Neodiprion lecontei: one gene and its partner. The protein of the gene in region 1 purifies or fractionates together with the protein of each later gene. This does not show direct contact. Links are inferred from orthologs where the notes say so. Each region holds a gene or a part of one and is shown in the gene's direction. Other genes may lie near its edges.

What was found.
Region 2: the proteins of nuclear pore complex protein Nup153 (region 1) and nuclear pore complex protein Nup50 purify together in Homo sapiens (affinity purification with mass spectrometry; 8 studies listed by BioGRID and IntAct, counting the BioPlex papers as one, with this or other methods). This does not show direct contact. The link is inferred for Neodiprion lecontei from reciprocal best matches to the Homo sapiens genes NUP153 and NUP50.

The regions. Positions count from the first base shown.
Region 1 is NC_060261.1:2,218,786-2,227,310, reverse strand, and holds the start of nuclear pore complex protein Nup153, read left to right. Parts: upstream 1-3,144; 5' UTR 3,145-3,310; coding exon 3,311-3,379; intron 3,380-4,198; coding exon 4,199-4,492; intron 4,493-4,584; coding exon 4,585-4,897; intron 4,898-5,080; coding exon 5,081-5,690; intron 5,691-5,801; coding exon 5,802-8,525. UniProt on the Homo sapiens protein: Component of the nuclear pore complex (NPC), a complex required for the trafficking across the nuclear envelope. Functions as a scaffolding element in the nuclear phase of the NPC essential for normal nucleocytoplasmic transport of proteins and mRNAs.
Region 2 is NC_060265.1:9,404,642-9,415,317, forward strand, and holds nuclear pore complex protein Nup50, read left to right. Parts: upstream 1-3,248; 5' UTR 3,249-3,478; intron 3,479-4,039; 5' UTR 4,040-4,050; coding exon 4,051-4,212; intron 4,213-4,321; coding exon 4,322-5,211; intron 5,212-5,359; coding exon 5,360-5,503; intron 5,504-5,666; coding exon 5,667-5,973; 3' UTR 5,974-7,054; downstream 7,055-10,676. Other genes in the region: uncharacterized protein LOC107217553, read right to left, coding at 2,536-2,613; protein lin-9 homolog, read right to left, coding at 8,086-8,250, 8,458-8,643, 8,774-9,020, 9,096-9,445, 9,534-9,951, 10,247-10,549, 10,650-10,676. UniProt on the Homo sapiens protein: Component of the nuclear pore complex that has a direct role in nuclear protein import. Actively displaces NLSs from importin-alpha, and facilitates disassembly of the importin-alpha:beta-cargo complex and importin recycling.

The DNA.
Region 1 (8,525 bases):
AAAAATGGGACAATTATTTGATTCTTCGCTAGCTAGGCCGAGTCGCACTGTGTTGTGTAATGTAATTCTTTAGAAATGAGAGTTTATACAGTTCCGTCTGAATATAGAAAGAAGAAAATAATTATATCCATCAGTAGAGTAACAAGGTGCACTGAAAATAATGCATAGGTTTGAGGTTATTTCGAGAATAGCTTATAAGCTTGAAATATAATTTTTTCCAAATCCTTAAATAATTTTGCAGCGTCAAAGACAACTTAGATCGCACAAATTTATGAACCGAAGCTTTTTAATTTTGTACAGTACTTATCGGCCCGTCATTCAGACGAATCAATGTAAAGAACCTTTGAAATTCGCAACCAATTGTATGAACTGTACATTATGTGACCTGCCTGTATAATAGTGTTTTTCGATACTAGTGCGCGAAGGTGGCAATGCCCGCACAAGCATGAAGGCGCAGCACGAGCCTGGAGACGAGTTGAAGGGCGAGTGTGGCGCATTCACGCGAGATAGGCATTGCCAACTTTCGCACGTGTATCGAACTCTATTTTTTGCTACACCTGTAATGGAAAGTCCGACATACACGATTATTTTTACACGAAACCACGGCACGATGTCTGTTTAGTGACGATGCAGCGATGTCGAGCACGGCAAAGAGTGACAAACTATTCCATCGGTAGGGCTAGTGGAGCTGTTTGCGAAATACGCAACTGTGGATAAAAGCGCGACGGTCTTTTTCGCACACCGCTAGCAATGTGCGAAGGTTCATCTTATACCGCCGGCAATGTGCGAAGGTTTTTTTCTCACACCCCTAGTAATGCGCGAAAGTTTTTCCCGCACATGTGTATAAAAGACTACTTTCGGTGCTTGTAAATGGTGCATAAAAATGGACTTTCCACGCAGGTGTTGCAAAAAATTAATTGTAAGATTAGCAAGTGCATATGTGTTCCGTGCAATCGTTGCGGTATATCTCGAGATTCGGTATTCTGTTCAGTAAACTGTAGGTCCTCGAATGCAGTTTTCGGTTTAACTGGTGTACGTGTATTTGAATTGAAAGTTTAAAAGAAAGATTTTGGGAAAATATGAGGGATCTACGTTATGTGGAAGATCGTGCTCATTTGATTTTTCATGTTTTTTTCAATTTATTTTTTTTGAATTTGTGAAGAATCACGTCGTAGGACTTCGATTCTTATTTCTTTCCTAAAACTTATATTCAACTCAAAGATCACGATCCATAACACAACGATATATCAACCGGGAATCTTATTCTTCTAAATCAAAAGTTCATAATATTAAATTATAACTATTTTATGAGGTTTACAGATCCTGTACCTAGTGAAACTTGACTTCCAGGTCTAGAGGTCCTTGATCCGGTGAAATTTGACTTCCAGGACGACCGCTCCGTAGTTTCGGCTGTTCAAATCTTTTACCTAGTGAAACTTGACTTCCAGGACTAGCGCTATGTAGTTCCTGTGCTCCAGGTTCTTTACCTGCTGGATCTTGACTTTCATCACTCGCGCTCAGCTGTAGGATCACCTGGTAGATACAGTTTTCTATTGATACTGATTCAATTATGAAATCCTACATCGGCTAATTCCGTAAGGTTGTATCTGCCAAAAATTCGATAATACAATAACTCGCAGTATGTATGATACATGGTAAGTAATGTATAATAATTAATGTGTTCCTCAATAAGTCTTGTAACAATATTTTTGTAGTTGAAGCTTACGACGTTGGAGATTTTGAAAATATTACGTCCCTTCAGAAATCCTATTTTTTTAGAAAGGATAGAGAAAGTATGTTAGCGATGTATACATGTTGGTGTGTAGTACATAAATGAAATAGTAATTAGTAATCCTTGTACATACATGAGATATATAATTTATAATTAGTTCGTCTGTCCATTATAACTCATATTCATTCGAAATTGCCGGCGATGGTCTTACAATTAGTTGATATCCAAACAGCCGTGGAGCAGTACGTACGTATACGGCAAGATTGCGGGAACGTTTATTTAGCGAGTTTAATTTATTGTCTAAAATGTTATTCAGTGAGTGTATTTGACTAACAAAGTAAAATGTATTTACGTTTCAGGAAACAATAGAAAAATTCAGGAACAATAACAAAAAAAAAAAAAAAATGGAAACTAGCGAAAACGCATCTATCGGTCAGTTGCTAATATAGTACACAGACAGACGAATGGCACGTTGTAAACATAGTGGAGATGTGACTTTGACCTGGTGCGATTTTTCCAAGCGTAAAAATGGCGCATTTCACACAGCGACAAACAAAATATTATTTTATGCAGTTTGAGAGAAACTTGCTACGCGTTATATCACAAAAGTTTAAGTAGTTTGCTGATCGTCATTATGTGGACGTCGGAATTCACCAGGTAGACTATCATGTATACTATATAAGTACATTACGATGTATACGAGTTATCACGTAGTCGGTTAAATTTAAAAATTTTACGCATATATGGTAAACCGCTAACAGTAAAGCTTATCGAATCGAGTGAGTGAGCGTGGCGAGCGAGGGTTTTACATCTAGTTGATATTACGATTGATGTAAGCAATGATAAAAGAAGTAAATTTTATTCGTGATAGATCAGAATTTTTAAAAAAATTTATAAAAGTAAAAAATGGACTGAGCGTCATCTTCCTCATAACGTAGAACATGCATATTTGGACAGAACCTTTCTTTTAACCTAAACGAACGTTTTAGAGGGTGCCATGGTGGAAAATCGTAAATAATATTTTTCGAAATTCCCTAATACATCGGTGTTAAAACCACGGTCTTATATACAGGTCTGGCAACTCGGTCGAAATTTCAGTGGTGAGGGTATCCTCTTATTGAAGCACTGATCGCTTCGCCTAGTGACCACGAGTGTCGCTGCGATAAAGGATGCAGGCTGTGTGAGAGAGATAGAAACAGGTTAAACCACATATCCTGCATCCCGTGCTGCATCCCTCTATCGCAGCGACACTCGTGGTCACTAGGCGAAACGATCGGTGCTTCAATAAGAGCACATACCCCCACCACCGAAGTTGCCAAAGTATGTAAGACCCATGTGGTTAAAACTCGCTCTATCGTCTAGTTATCGGCAATATCGATAGTCGAGGCGGCGAGAGTCGATCCGCGGTGTCACGTGTCCACGAGCCAACGGGAAGCTTGACCCCTCACGGTGGTGGAGGAACCGCCATATTTTCTCGTGGTTTCGTCGTGAAAGTTGGACGATGTGAGGTGTCAGTTTGATATGCAGTAATCTAAATTAATGTGAGTGTGTAATAATAAACAAGTAAATGGTGCGATCATGGCAAAAGGAGGTAACAGTTTGAACAACAAACGTTCGAGGAACGCCAAGCCCTACGACGCAAACAACGTGAGTAGAAACTCGTTCCGAGGTCTCGGCCACTGGCCTCCCGCGACAAAAGTTGCCTTCCAACGGTCCTTCGCGCGTTTCCCAAAATAGACATGATTTTAAAACGTGCTCCGAGTAACGATCGAACCGATTGCGATATCCTTCCCAATCCCCGGCAATCAAATTCGATCAAATATTATACTTGACAAAGTTTTACCCGCATCAAATAACCTCAAACTCGATAGGCGCACACCCACGGCGGAATTTATCGTCATTCAAAACGTTCTAACCTTGAAATGCTGCATGGGTTCTTGGACAATTGTTCAATTTCTTACACCGATTCTTGTATCTAATAACAATAATTTTTACCGTGCATAAAGCCGTCGAGCTCGTTACGTCAATATTATCTATAAATTACATAATTAATGGAATTTGTTCCTCTAACTCTCGAAATCCGATATTCTCAATATCTCTGTTGGCTAGTTCTAGCTTGAATTATTATCACACATTATAGTACATGCAATTTGGCACATTGCAACAATTTACACTGTCTTGTATATCCGATATATCAACCACAAGCTATTTATGTCTGTCAAGATAAACATTCAATTTTTAGTTATATATTACTTCCTATGTCGAAATGCGATTGAAATTCTCGTTTTACTTTCACTTAATATTTATAGTATCTAGAGTTACTTCAGCCTTCAGCTAGTCTTTGAACAAATCTAAGCTTAAAATATGAGCCTCAGTTAATCTTGCAGTCTAAATGATTTTTCCCAAAAAACCTGATATTTTTATAAACTCCCTTGAATAATGCTAATTGATATTTTTTATTACCAGTCTTTCGTGAAAAAAGTCGCTACGAAAGTCACAGATCTGATACCGCAGAGATCGTGGATAAGCAAATGGTTTAATTCGTCGCAAGATAATGGCGAAATGTTAAATGATGAGGAGAACCTCGAGGGCTCTGAGAATGAGCAGGAGTCACAGCAACCTCCGCCTTCAAAGCGGCCACGGATTCGTATGGATGTAACTCACCCCCCCGGAACATTCAATATACAGCCAAGAAGTAGAATTCCAGATAATGAGGAGGTCGACCCTCGAAAAGAAGATTACATTATCCACAATGAAACTGTAATTATTTAAATGTTCATTTTGTTCCTTTACTCAAACCATTATTTGTTATCTATAAATATTCTTTATTAATTATATTTACGAATTTTCAGACAACCGATTTCCTAGAACCTTCAGTAGCTGGAACTAGTGGGGTTCGTCGTCTAGTGGCGTCGACGCCTGCAATCCAATCAGAAATTGGCAGTATGAGCAATCAAAGGAACAGGACAAAGTTCATTTCGTTAACATCGCCACAAAATAACGGTACGGCTAATGGAACAGACGATAATTCAGAGTCCAGTGAGAGCACAAGCGGATGCAGCTCTCTCATACCACAAGTCAACAGGCAAGAAGCACCCTCAAGTCTGGGGTACAACAGATCGTCAACAAGCAGAAAGAGATACAATGAAGATAAACTAAACTATAGTAAGTCTGAAAATTTGAGTAATTGTCGATTATATGTTTATTCAAGAAGTAATCGGGCATTGATTTATTTTCAATAGTGGACCAATGGGCTCTTGATCACTCTAAAAATTTGGTTAAAGCACGAAACTTTGCCTACATATCTTTTATTTCAGGTTTTCATGTCTTCGGTTTCTGTGTTTGCAGCAAATCACCTACAGTCCCCACGGTCCCTCTTTTTGGATAGCAATCCTAGGGATTCGTTGAGCAGTCGGAAGCCGAGCTTCAATGTGTCAATAATGAATAATTCTCTTGAACGAGGACAGTCCTCGTCTCCGTTTTACAACGGCAATACCACGTTTGGAGGAGCCAACATGGCAGGATTCCAACGCCGAGGACGTACGTTGTTCAATAGTACAAATGAACTTCAATTGAAAGTACCAAACCGAACCAACATTCAAGTAAAGTCACCAAATGTAACTGGTACCGATTCATCAGCCATGAGTCAAACTGCTAAAAGGATATTGGAAGCACTGGAGCATTTTTCATCCCCCATATTGGATGCTAAAAAAATTCCCATGAATGCAAACAATAGCTCGTCTCTGATCGGTGGCAAGAAACGGCAGAGGGAGGAAGGTTGTGCTCCCTTGGCTCGGGTAGGTCTGCGTCATTTGACTAGGGAACTTACCGTACCTACAGTGCCAGATCTCCTGAAGCTTAGACGTAGACAGAGATTACAAGACACCACAGTAGCGGCTAGGAGAATCGTTTCGGCTCGCAGTGCCCCTCCACCATCTCCCCAGGAATACAGATTGAGGTACATTCTGATTGATTTGATACAAGTTTTTAATGAACAGTGCTTTTCGTTTGAGTTCTTTTGTACATTGAGCAATTTTTAATCTATTTAATTTCATTTTTTGTGTTGCAGATCGGACGATGAAGAGAAGTCTAAATACTCGGGCAAGGTTAAAAGTAAAGGTAAAACCGACTTGGATCAAGACTATGTGACCGATGCAGTCAACTTACCAAGCGTCACACTGCCTATTAGTACTTTGCCAACTTTTGATATAAAGCTACCAGTAATCACCAGTAACATGGCCAAAGGAGTGAAAGATGAATTATTCAAGTTCTCTAGCCCAATAAAAGTGACGGACACGACTAGGAATTTAAAATCTATCAATAACTTTACCTTCAGCAAACCAATCAATGCCAGTGTTAAAGAATCCGCAGAGGGTGGTCATTCACTTTCGAGAACATTGAGTTCAGAATCTGATACTTTGCCAGCTAGATTTTCGTCTAGTAATAATTTCATGTGGTCCAAGACCTCGACAGCCCCGAAATTGAAGGAAAAACCCAAAGAGGACGTGGTTGTGGATGGAATCAAAACGTCCAGTAAGTTAAAAACAGGCAGCGTTATGGATGTTTTGGGAAAGAAATCAGACCTACTTACAGATGCCAACAAACCTGTAGTTGGCATGTGGGAATGTAACCAGTGTTTGTTGAAGAACAACCAACACGAGCCTCAGTGCATTGGTTGTAAAGCTTCCAAGTTACTTTGCAAAGGTGATAAGACAACAGAACATACACCGGAATCGTCAACGCTTACCGTTACACAGTCCAAGCCTGTGACCACCGATTGTTTCGGATCACAGTTCAAAATGAGCGGCAACCATTGGGAGTGCCCCAATTGTGCAACATCGAACAAACAAAGTGATGTCAAATGCACGTTGTGCGCTATGTCTAAATCTGAAAGCATTAAGGCTCCGACTATCGGTTCTACATCCAGTATTGTTCCTGAATCAGTAAAATCCGATTTAATGGAAAAATTTAAACCTCCTGAAGGATCGTGGGAATGTCCTGGTTGTATGCTCCGAAATCATTCATCTGTCGAAACTTGCCCTTGCTGCAACGCTTCAAAGCCTGGCTCCCTCAAGATCAGCCCTAAAAGAGTACCTGCCACATCAGAATTGTTGACTACCATTTCGAATCCCGGTGGAAATCAGTTGGCCAATAACACTGATTCTGTGGAGAAAACAAAGTCGACCAATGAAGATTTATGGGAGTGCTTGAAATGTAAACAGAAAAATTCTAGAGCCACTTTAATCTGTCCATGCTTTAGTACTTCGAAATCCGATTCTACAAGTACACCGGCGTTAGGATTTGGTGACAAGTTTAAGAAACCTGAGGGAGCTTGGACGTGTGACGATTGCATGGTACAGAATAAAGCAGACGTTATCGAATGCGTAGCTTGTAGTGCTGTGAGACCCGGTTCAAAGAAGGTAGCAAAATCAACGTCAGCCACAGGTAGTGGGTCAAATGTACAGTTCAGTTTTGGAGTACCCGAGAATGCTGGAGGTTTCAAATTTGGAATTGACAAAAGTGATGAAAAAGTTGACGCGATTAAGCCTGTCCCTTCGTCGACAGGTTTTACCTTTGGCGCTAAGACAGACTCACCCAAAGCTGGCGGATTTACCTTCGGTGTACCTCAGAATTCTTCAGGATTCACGTTCGGTGTTGTAGATAATGAGAAAAATAAATTCGAACAGAAATCGGACACTAAGGAAACTGATGCTGTTCAAAATGTGTCGAAAAAACGTTCATTGAATGTCGAAGAACCGAAGAATCAAGCTCCGTTCTCATTTGGTATACCCAAAACGGAAGAGGCAAAATCATCTGCAGAAAAACAATTTGCATTTGGAGCACAACCAGTAGCTAATACTACTGCAAAGCAATCATTTTCCTTTGGAGCGGTGAAAACTGAGGCACCTGTTAACAAAAAAGACACATTACCAGAAGTTTACATAACTGTTTCAAACACAGAATCCCAGAAATTAAATTTTTCAGCACCAACTAGCGACGCTCCAGCAGCAATCTTGGCCAATGATCAATCTAGTTCAATAACAACAAAATTATCCATCAATACAGATATTACCAAATCTGCAGAAAATCCCACATTTGGCACAATAAATGTGCCTGTTTCACTTAGCAGTGGGTCAACAGTTACGACAACCGCAGCCAGCGTCCCGACGCCCGGACTCTTCACGTTTGGTTCTGCAACGACGATTCCAAATCAACCAACGACAGTTCCGAGTCAAGTGGTGCAAAGTTTTGGTCAAATTCCAGTATCAGCTCCAACATCAGTGCCGACGCCTTCAATGTTTGTTTTTGGATCCACCAAGCAGGCGAGTACAATAGCCGCCACGACACATCCTGATAAATCTGAAATTGTATCTTTTGGCTCGACCAACAGTCCTGCGTTTAATGCTATCACTTCCGCGCCACGTTTCGAAGGTAACGAAAATAAGCAAGCACCGTCGTTTGGCATGACGGACAACAAGCCTGCCCCGCTTTTTGGAGCGGGTGAAACAAAGGCTCCAGTTTTTGGAGCTGCTCAGGATAATAACAAAATGATACCAGCGTTTGGAAGTATCAAAAAGACAGCATCAACATCAGTGTTTAACTCCACAACGCCAGCATTTGGAGTCTCTTCTTCTACCCCTGCATTCGGAACTGCGGCCCCGGCGTTCGGAACAACGTCCACACCTGCATTTGGGACCAATCCGACACCGAGTATTTTCGGGACGTCGAAACCAGTGGAAACTGCACCGTCTTCCACTTCTGGGTTGTTTGCATTTGGCGGAAGTTCTACTCA
Region 2 (10,676 bases), on another chromosome or scaffold:
TAGAATAACGATTTAGGGTTCAATTACGCATAGACGAAAATAAATAATGAAAATACGCAATTTAGAATGAAAGTAAAATATACAACTATAAACAATTTTAACCAAGCCATATTGTGTACACAAATTTTCTCAATTACCAAATTATACTTGTATCGTGTTGGAAATGTATTCCATGGATCTCAATGCTCAATGAGTTCCTTACTATAACCGTAAAAATCACATGAATTTGATTATTTTCTTCAACATTCCTTGATCACAATTATTTCCCAATTAGTCGTATATTGTGATACCTCCAATGTTGTTACGACGATTAAATATTAAGCATTGTTAGAGATACAACTTGAGGGTATTTCTTCCGTTAAATTGAACCAGCAACAAATAAGCAAACCAAAGAAAGTTAATTCAATGTAGTATTTCTGGCCACTGTATAACGTTATAAAATTAGAAAAAAAAAACCAAAAAAAAAAAAGGGTAAACCGATGTAAGTATAATCTATCAATTTACACTTGAGTTACGTAAACAGTGTCCGCTGCACATCGCGCATACAATGGCGTACATTTCACACATACTATACAATTGCATACACGGATTTACCGCTGCTTATAGACGCAGAGGCGGGTTTAACAAGCCTACGTGACATTACGACTTGCGCCTGATATCTGCGTGCACGATTCTCCTTATAATTTCATTCGAATTCTTAATCTTAATTTTTTCTGTCGTTTTTTTATCGTATTTTTTGCCTCACGCACGTGGAGAGGATCATTCGCACTTAAAATTAGGGGATATTAATATTTTCGGAAAATCTATCCATACGTATTTATAAATACGAGACGCTGCCGCCATTGCAGCTCTGCGTTATCGTCTTGACGAATGTGTGCACCAAAAACTCGTGTATAAGCGCATATGGTTTGTTTGTTGTGGTGTTTTAAAAGTAAAAGATAGGGGGAAAAAAAAAAAAATAGCTTACGCGTCGTGAGAATAATTGATCGGTCTATTTCGTACAACAATTTAACTATTGAAACAGAATTGATCCATAATCGATGATTATTATAGTCGAAGCAATGTAGTAACTGTGGAAATTTTATCCCACGTATCGTGTGTGCGAGACAAAACAATACGCATATATCTGTAAAAAAAAAAAAAGAAAGAACCGGAGATCTGCTTATTCTTCTTGGTATTATTCTTTTATCGTTGCGCTGCGAAACGGAAATATCGTTTACCGTGTCGCAGAGACATACTTGCACGCAGTACGCATATACGTACAAACCAAGGCATAAGATTTGGTTGTACATACGATACGTTGCTCGAATATTCAACGATGCTAAGTGAGACGTTAATTCTTACGAAGATAACGCGGGAGAATTTTCCGTCGATTGAAAACTACTACATGCAGTACACGCAACAGCGTGTGTATATTTATAACGATGGGGGGGGGGGGAGGGGGATGATAATAAAAGTTTCACAGCGGTTTAAAGTTGTAACGTGTAAACTTGGGAAATAATGCGAAGCGAAAAGCGGAAGTAAAAAAGTGGCGGAAAGTTTTTATGTTACGCGAGGTTACCTCGCGTGACTTCTTAGGTAAGATTTTTAACTCTTGTGCGGGTGAAAAAGTCGCGCGCGACATGTTGCGCGCTGCTTTCAATTGGTAAAGAAGAACACGACACGAGCAACGGAGTAAGTTTAATACTACTCGAGTAGTTTGATACTCGCGCAACAATAACTAATACCGAAACTTATATTATTTGTCAATTTGACGATGAAAGAAAGAAAGCGGACACGTTGTGTGCGATTTGTGGGTAACGATGTTGCAGCTGCGGGTGAAGATCGACGAATTATCACGTGAAATGCAAACGTAACGACGCGGAGATGTGACAGAGATCGTCGAAATAAGACGTGGAAATAACTATGCCTGTATCGTAAATCATACAAAACGTAACGACGCGTCGACAATATACGGCCACAGCGGCGACCTTGGTTAATTGAAGTATCAAACTGACGATAAAAAAAAAACACACCGACGATAGCGAGAAATACACGCTATTTTATACGTCGCACCTGAAAAACTGTGCGTGGAGACGTAGACTTATCGTTGGTTTGGCTCGATATATCCGACAAAATTTATAGCGATGTTGCGGTATAATTGCAGCGGTTAAACTGCACGCGAAATTAGGCGCACAAGTTACGTCGATATCGAACAACTTGTATCTCTATCGCGCTGATTTTTCCTTGGGTAAATTCTCCTCTTAAATCCGACAACCGCGTGAATGTGATCGGAAAATTAATTGGGATCGAAAAAGTCAATCGCGCTGCACGGCTTGATCGCACTCGTCGAAAGTTTTAGCATCATCTCTAAGCCCCCTTTCCCCTCGTCGTCGCTGCGCTCCGAGAGTGTAACAGTGTGTAAATGATGCAGGAAGCCTACGGTGATACATGCGTGTACGGTACATGTAACTGCACAAGAAACGCGCGTCAGGTTGTACGATGCAGGTATTAAAAGTCCGTCGACGGACAAACAACGAGGAGGAAATTACTTGCCTGATGATTTTGTATGGCGTATTTGAGCTTGTTTTGCACGGAGTGTATCTCATCCTGCAAACTTTTCGATATCTCCATAGTCGGGCCTGGAAGTTGGACTCGAGTTATTCCGAAGTTGACGAATTCGCTTCGTTATCGGCACCGCGTTTCAACGACGACACCAGTTGAGTTGAATTTTCTCTCAACAGATATAATTATTCACAAAATAGAGCGAAGCAATATCTCTCTCCTCTCGGCTCCTCGGCACGGCGCGCACCACGGCACTTGCCCGATTCACCCACCACCACAAACAATTGACCATCCGCACAAGTCGGATATTTGACGGGGCCGTGTGTAGGTTTTCACCGACGCGGGCACAACGACGACGACAGACACACGACACACCGAGCAACTTGCGTTAACCCCCCTTTCGGTATTGCCAAAGCTATTTTCCATCTAAGTTGCGGTTAATTTGGGAAAATACCGACCGGTCTACCGGTGTAAACATTTAGCTTGTTTATCGGACAACCTACCCCCGTTGTGTTACACGATATTTCAACTCAGTTTCAATTAAATCTCGGCCATTTAAAAGAGATTTTCCGACGCAGCGGCAGATGTTTTCCCAATAATAAGAGCGCGCAGGGGTGTGTGGTTGATGCCTGCCGAATGATCGTGGCGCCCTCGTCGTGACAACGGCCTGGTCCACAACTCCCGAATTTTCATCCCCCCTTCGGCCCTTCACAGACACTACACGACCAACTACGATTGCCGGCCAGCCCAGCCGGCCCCGAGTTGACATTTTTTTTTCATCAAAAGGCAAAAAGTCTAACGCGCCAGTTTAGCGCGGAACATTTACTTGCGATTTATCACTCATGTTTCGCGAGATATTATCGTACAAATAGACACTAACGCGGTTAACGTGGACTTTTCATCGACAGATTGCATACCGTTTATCAAAACTCAGGTACGCTAGCGATTCTCGACGCTGTATCGTTGCAATGAATTGACAATTGCCACTTTCGAATATACTCCCGATCGAGTGGCGGTTAACCTATAAATGTGTACTTTTTTTTTACTCGCACTCCAATTTCATATCGATCGACTGCTGGTTTTTATTTGTTACGGAAATCACATTGAATGGCGTTATGTTGAAACTGTTTAAGCGGGTAACGGCCGAAATTGATCCAATTCTATTTCGACCGAATCCTTTTCATAACCTCGAAACAGTATTGAATCGACTGTTACTATGTACTTGCATTGCCATGTCAACTTCACCGTAAACCCGCTGTTATATTCAGATCGCATATTCGCTCTTCGACAATTTCAAAATCCTAATGCTTATCGCAATTGCTAAATGTTTCGTAAGAGATAAGCGCCTAACTGGATTAATACCTAAATTCTTACGACACGATAGTCCTTCTATCCTCGGGAATTGAAATATTGCTCTGATAATTTGTTGATTAAATGCAAATCGATTACCACAGCCTGTCTGAAATTAAAACTGAAAAAATCATTCTGATTTTAGACCGCTCAGTGATGGCTGGCAAACGAACTGCTACCTCAGAGCTGAATCACGATAATTGGAACGATGAAGAAACTCGGGAAGAGGCAGGAACGTTTAGCAAAGCATCGAAAGAAGATTTGCAGAGAAGAGTCATCAAATCGGCCAGACGGCGAATAGTCAACAGCGGAGGGGATGTAAGTTTGGAAACATTGCTGAAAAATACAAAGATCCCTAGCACCAAAGCGCATTGCTTTTTTGTTGTCCGAAGTTGATTGTATCTCGTAATATTTCAAACTGTTTCAGGATGCACCAAAAGCAGCGTTTGGCGCGTTTACTGCTTTCAAAACTGCTGCACCTGCCGGTTCTTCACCCTTTAGCTTCCTTGCAAATACTAGTAATGCAACAAATACGAAGAGTAGTGAAAAAACGGTAGCTAATAAAGTAGGTTCGAGCAATGGATCGGTTAACCCAGCAGCGAATGGGCCAGAAAGCAAAGATTCTTCTTCGTTGAAACAGGAATCAATGTCGAAAAATTCGGATGCTAAGCATTTTCCAACTGGAAAGGAAGATGGGAAGATTTTCAAAAAATCAACAGATTATTATGCAAAATTGAAGGGACTTAACGAAAGCGTCACTCAATGGATCAAGTCACACGTAGATTCAAATCCGTTTTGTATTTTAACCCCAATATTTAAAGATTATGACAAGCATCTTAAAGAAATTGAAGCTAAACACGGACAGGAAACCACCCCGACAATTTTGAGCCCAGAAAAGACTGGGGAAAAATCTAACTTGGAAAGTTCACCCGTTAAGAGTAAGTCGAATTTGGAAACTGGAAAGACTGAATCACAGACTAAGAAGTCGGTCTTTAGTAATCCATCAGTGGGAAATGCAGAGTCGAAAAGCGAATCATCGATTTTCAAGAATGTGAATGTTGGAAAATCGTTATTCGGGAATACTGAAACTACCTCGGAAGTCAAAAGCGTTTTTGGCAGTGTTTCCACTGAACGGAATCCATTTTTAAGTACATCATTTACAGCTGTAGAAGATAAGAAAAAGGAAACCGAATCTGACATTACTGATCAGAAACCAACAGCAAGTCTTTCGTGTCCACCATCTGGTCCCACAGCCACATTCAGCTTTGGCCAAAGTTCAGCAACCAGTACAGCTTCGGCAGGATTCAGTTTCGGAGGGTACGTCCTCTTTCCGGGAGTAAATTTTTTATTGGTTGTTACGATGAGTTTCATATTCCGTTTTCATGTTTTTCTACCCATATATTCACGAAATATTGAAACATTATCAGCCTTCTTTTTGTAATTGTATCTATATATCTCCTTACAGTGGAAAACCATTTTCTTTTGGCAATGTGGCTAAAACTACAGAAGCAGAAGAGACTAAAGAAGATGAAGAAAAAGATGATGATGACGAACCACCGAAACCAGACTTCAAACCAATCACGGAAGACGATGCAATTTATGAACAACGGTAAGACAGTTGAAAGGAACATGCGATTCTTATTTATCTGTTTTATATGAAATTTACCTAAATATGTTTGTTACGTACTATGTTCTAGTGAATATTTGTTCACTACACTAGCACGATATTCAATGGCAGATGAAATTTATGGGATATAAATTGCTTTTCGCAGATGCAAGGTATTTGTCAAAAAAGATGGAAATTTTGCTGATCGAGGAGTAGGTACCCTGTTTCTGAAGCCTACACCCAACGACAAAACACAGCTAATAGTGCGTGCCGATACTTCGTGCGGAAATTTACTCTTGAATACAATATTAACCGAGGGCATACCAATGCAGCGTATGGGAAAGAATAACGTTATGATGGTTCTTCTTCCAACACCAGATTCCAAACCACCACCGACACCAGTTTTGTTAAGAGTTAAGACAAGCGAGGACGCCGATGCGTTGTTAGAAAAGCTTAATAAGCACAAGAAATGATTTTTTTAATCATGCCCACCGACCATTGTTCAACGGATATCAATCCATAAGTCATTATGGCAGATGTCAATTCTTGAATGAAAGCAAAACAATCGTGAATGTGTACATGTTTCTTATCAGAAACTAAAGATGCTATATAAATGTTAATGTACGACATTTACAGCTTAGTACTATTGATATAGATAATAATACGCAAGTAGAATACAGTCTCGTCAGTTTTACATTTACACAATGATCACAATCGTGATCAATAATTGGAATATTGCAACAAACGAATTCAAGCTTCAAATAAATCACGCGAATACGCATTCGGAACAAATTGAACTCGGACGCGTTTATATGTTGATGAGTTATACACAAATAAGTGGTTTCTGCTAAACTCATTACAGGAATACTCCCTGTTCACCTCATTTGATTTTAGAAAGAATAAAAGCCACTTTTATATATGAGATCGTTTAGTCTTGGTATTATAAATACTGCAAAAAAAATTTTACCGACACTTCCTCCAAATTGTTACTGTAGATAAGAAATTTTTTTAAGTGGCGATAAGAAATAGTAACTTACTTAAGTTATCAGAGACAGAAAATGAATCTATGTAAAATGGATTCTATGCTCTATTATCGACAATAGTGTCGTATCGTGGGTGATGACGTGTTAACGTAAATGCAAATGGATCTAGTAATGCATGTGACCGAACATTACAACGTCTGTATCTGTTAGTACTAATCGAAAATATAATTAACTCTTTCAGACAGATGAGTAACCAACGATGATACGCGACCGTCAGTTGAACAAAAATTGAAACGAATAAACTCTCATCATTGACCAGTAATACATCGGATATTCAAAATACTTTAGGTCAACTTTTTTGTATTAAAGTCTTAGATGCGCGTTGCTGTGAATTTATTATTAGCCTTTATTCCGTAAAATTTTACTTTTTACTTGTGTTGAAATAAATATTACGGGAATAAAATGAATTATAGTGAGTTTCCACGATACTTTGATACGAATAAAAGTACACTGTTACATAATCCCCATGTTAAATAATTAACTGTATATAAATAAAGCATCTGAAATTATACCGCTACATGTAGTTGAATTACATTGAGTATCCTTTCCCTCAAAAAGCAACAATTCAGGGATATATAAATCTGTTTAGAACGTCTCCATCTCAAATTATGTTTCATCTATTATTTTAGATACAATTTATAGCGCCTGTATAATATATGCAACTCGTAATATTCTACATTTCCTCATACCTTTTAATTTCCGTAAAATATTAATTTCTCCATTTATTATTAGGGTATGAACGTGTATAATAGTAATTAAATATTTTCAATCGTCTCAAGTATTCAACACAACATTCTTCTAGTTACAATTTTTTCATAATATTTTTCTTTTACTATTTAATATTATTACTAAATGTTTTAATCCTAAGATATATATTTGTAATTGTAAGTAAATACATAATTATTTTCAACGCAAGTATTAACTGTGTAATTGAACGTTAGCAGTGGTGCAGAAATACGGACGAAAAAAAAAAAAGATCTTTTCTATTTTTACCGAAGTGATGCATACAAAATTTTGCAACGGGCAACAATGTTTGCCATTGCATTTATCACACCACTTTACACCTCTATAAAGTACACAATAAGATACTAGATATATTATGTAGACATTTAATTCAAAGTAAATGACTTGAGTAAAAATTTTTGCTGATAATGTCAAGAAAATATTGATTATTGCAGAAAGATCAGAAGAATCATTCCGTGTAAGGTGTAGACAATGCTTACACCACGTTAGTTCAAAATTCATTACCATTTCTAACTGCAATTCCTCGTACTTCTTGTCTTTTTATAAAACAAAAAACAAAATGTAGATATAATGTATGAACTATGAGTATGCCTGATGAACGATGAAGGAGTCTATACAATTGGATAGTAAAGATTGATTCACATCATACAACACGGGCTGTAACAAAACTATCTATTAATAAAAATTTTCTTCGTACTTCATCAATTGTTTAAATCAAACGTATCCAATGTGTGTCGTTTCTTGATTTTGTATTAAATATTCATTGCACCTATATTCGTAGACATATTTTAGCTTTCACTACATGTTCTCGTCAAGAAGTAATTCCATAACAGCCAAATCGCTGACGCTTAGAGATTTGGCCATTGATCCTCCTGTGATTAACTGCTGCTTAGTGGGTGCTTGTTCCGTAGGAATGCCGTGGAAATTCCGATAAATGTTCGTTCCAGGTCGTACTGGTCCATGCTGGATAGCGTGAATCAACTTTTAGTTGAACAGTGACGACAGGCGCACATCAAATCATTACAGTAAGTAGAAGCGTGCAAGTGTAGTACAACTATTATTTTCCTCGAATAAATTCTCATTAGATTACAGAATACTCTTGCACGCGTCTGAAAATTACTGCCTGCCATTCATTAAGAGTATGATGATTCAACAAAGTTAATACTAAACTTTTTGAGACATAAATGGCGTTAAAGCCCCTATTTTTCCCAAACCAAGTTGAATATGCTGCATATGAATTTCAACGCAGTTTTGAAACACTTGTTGATTTTGAGGACTCAGTTTCGATCTAATTTGCTCCATGGTTCCTTGAAGTACTTTCAATTCATAGGCATTTCGATCAGAATCCGACAAGCTCTGTGAAAAGAATTGGATATTATGACTTTTGGAAAGAAATCTGCATTTCTTTGCTGGAATTCTACGTATTGGGAGAATTTGAGGAAGATTTTGTTGTGAAAAGTGGAGTAAAACTAGGAACAAGATTTACCTTTACTTGAAGCATGAGAGCAGTGAGGTCTGTGACAAGTTCGCTCATCTTTGCTGGTGCCCTATCGTTAATGACATCATTTCTAGCAACCATATCGGCCGCTTCTTGATGGCACTTTTCCCGCAAATGAGAAGGAGCCAGCATAGCAGCAACGCTTGGTTCCGGAGCCATTTCTTGACATAACTCTTGTACGTCGTTCAAGAAATCTTGAAGCGCTACATTCATCTTTTCAAGTTCAACTACTATCCTGTAATCACAAAGAAATTTTATTTTTAATCCGTTCGTTGTTTCTATTCAATACATTACTAAGCAAAATTCTTACCCTGCATATTTTCTCTCAAAGTCAGCTGGCAAAGGCTCACCGAAAGACCGTCTCTTTTCCGCCTCACTGTTCATTTCCTTCAGTTTCTTTATCTTGATTTTCTTTGCCGCTAATATTTTGTCAACTTTTACCATAAACTCTAACAGTTTTAAGGGATAGCCATTCATCGTACCACCGATATGCGATTTTTTTGGGAGTGATACGGAGGCGTTGGATATTAAAGGGTCATTATTTAATCTGGGTGACATTAATTTCATTGCATAGGGAGGTGATGGCACATATTGCACCATCCGAGGTCTAAACTTTTGCGCGAACGAAGCTACACTAATGGTTTCTGGTGGTTCGTTTGACTGAAAACAAATAAAGGTTATTGAAATAAGTCAAATGAAGATGATCAACAGGCACTAAACAGTGAATATGGCTCAATTATTCAATTACCAGAACTTCAAAATCAGGCACACTGTGAGTTCCAAGACCCGCTCTTTCAAAGGTAATTCTGTAGGTGTTGTTGCTGGTATCGACTGCATCGATACTACCAGTGAAAAGGCCATCTTGTGGCTTTCGTAATCTTGCTGTAACTTTCGTTCCAATAACAAGTTGTAAAGGAATTTCAGGAGGCAGGTCCTTAAAGCTACTTATATCGGCCGTTTTTCTCTGCTGGAGCATACGAATTTTTTGTCTCTTCCTCTCTAACTCTCGTCTTTCCTCTTCAAAAAATGATTGGGAGCACCGTCTTGGCTTTCCCATCATTCTTCGTATTTTACACCATTCTACGCGTGTCAACTTTCGTGTTTTTAGCTGCGGAAAAGACTCCTTCAAACAAATCATAAAGTCGTTGTCACCATCAAAGAGCGTTCTGGAAGAAGAAAAATAGTACTTATCTAATTGCCCATTTTGAGAAAAAAAATTTCAATTGATAGAGTGTGTTAATCAATGTATGATTAACATTTGTACCAGAATTTGAATATCGATGCATTACTCAGATCGTTGACTAGAGATATGTATATCTTCAGTCAATGCTCAGATTATGTCCTATGGAAAGTGATGTAATGAAAACTACAGAATACTATTATTTTTCCTTGAATAAGGAAAAGACCCTCGGTGAAATCTTTCAAAAAAGTATTACAGATTACTTCAGGTACATTACTCACTTGTCAATGTTACTGTAGAACCATTCATAGCAGACCCATTTATGTGCTTTGGGTAATTTCAGCAGGTTTCTCAGTCTCATACCAATCTTCTGTCCAATTTTTCGGTCAGGAGATGCTGGTTGTGCCGGCTTTTCTGGCTCCTTTTCCTGTTTTATAGGTGTAGTAACTGGCGTCGATGGCTGCGACGGCGTACCCGTACTTCTCTTCGACTCACTGACATGTCTATTCTGTTTTTTAGCTGGGGATGGCCGTGGTATTCTTTTAGGAGAATGTTTCATTTCCAAATTGGGATCCTTTTTAATTCTAAAATACACATTAGAAGCACAAATCAAATCAGGCCTTAGAATTTTATCGGTACTTCGTCTGTTTACTAAAAACACATAAACATTAACTTCTAATCTACCTATGATGTGGATGGTTGACGAGAATG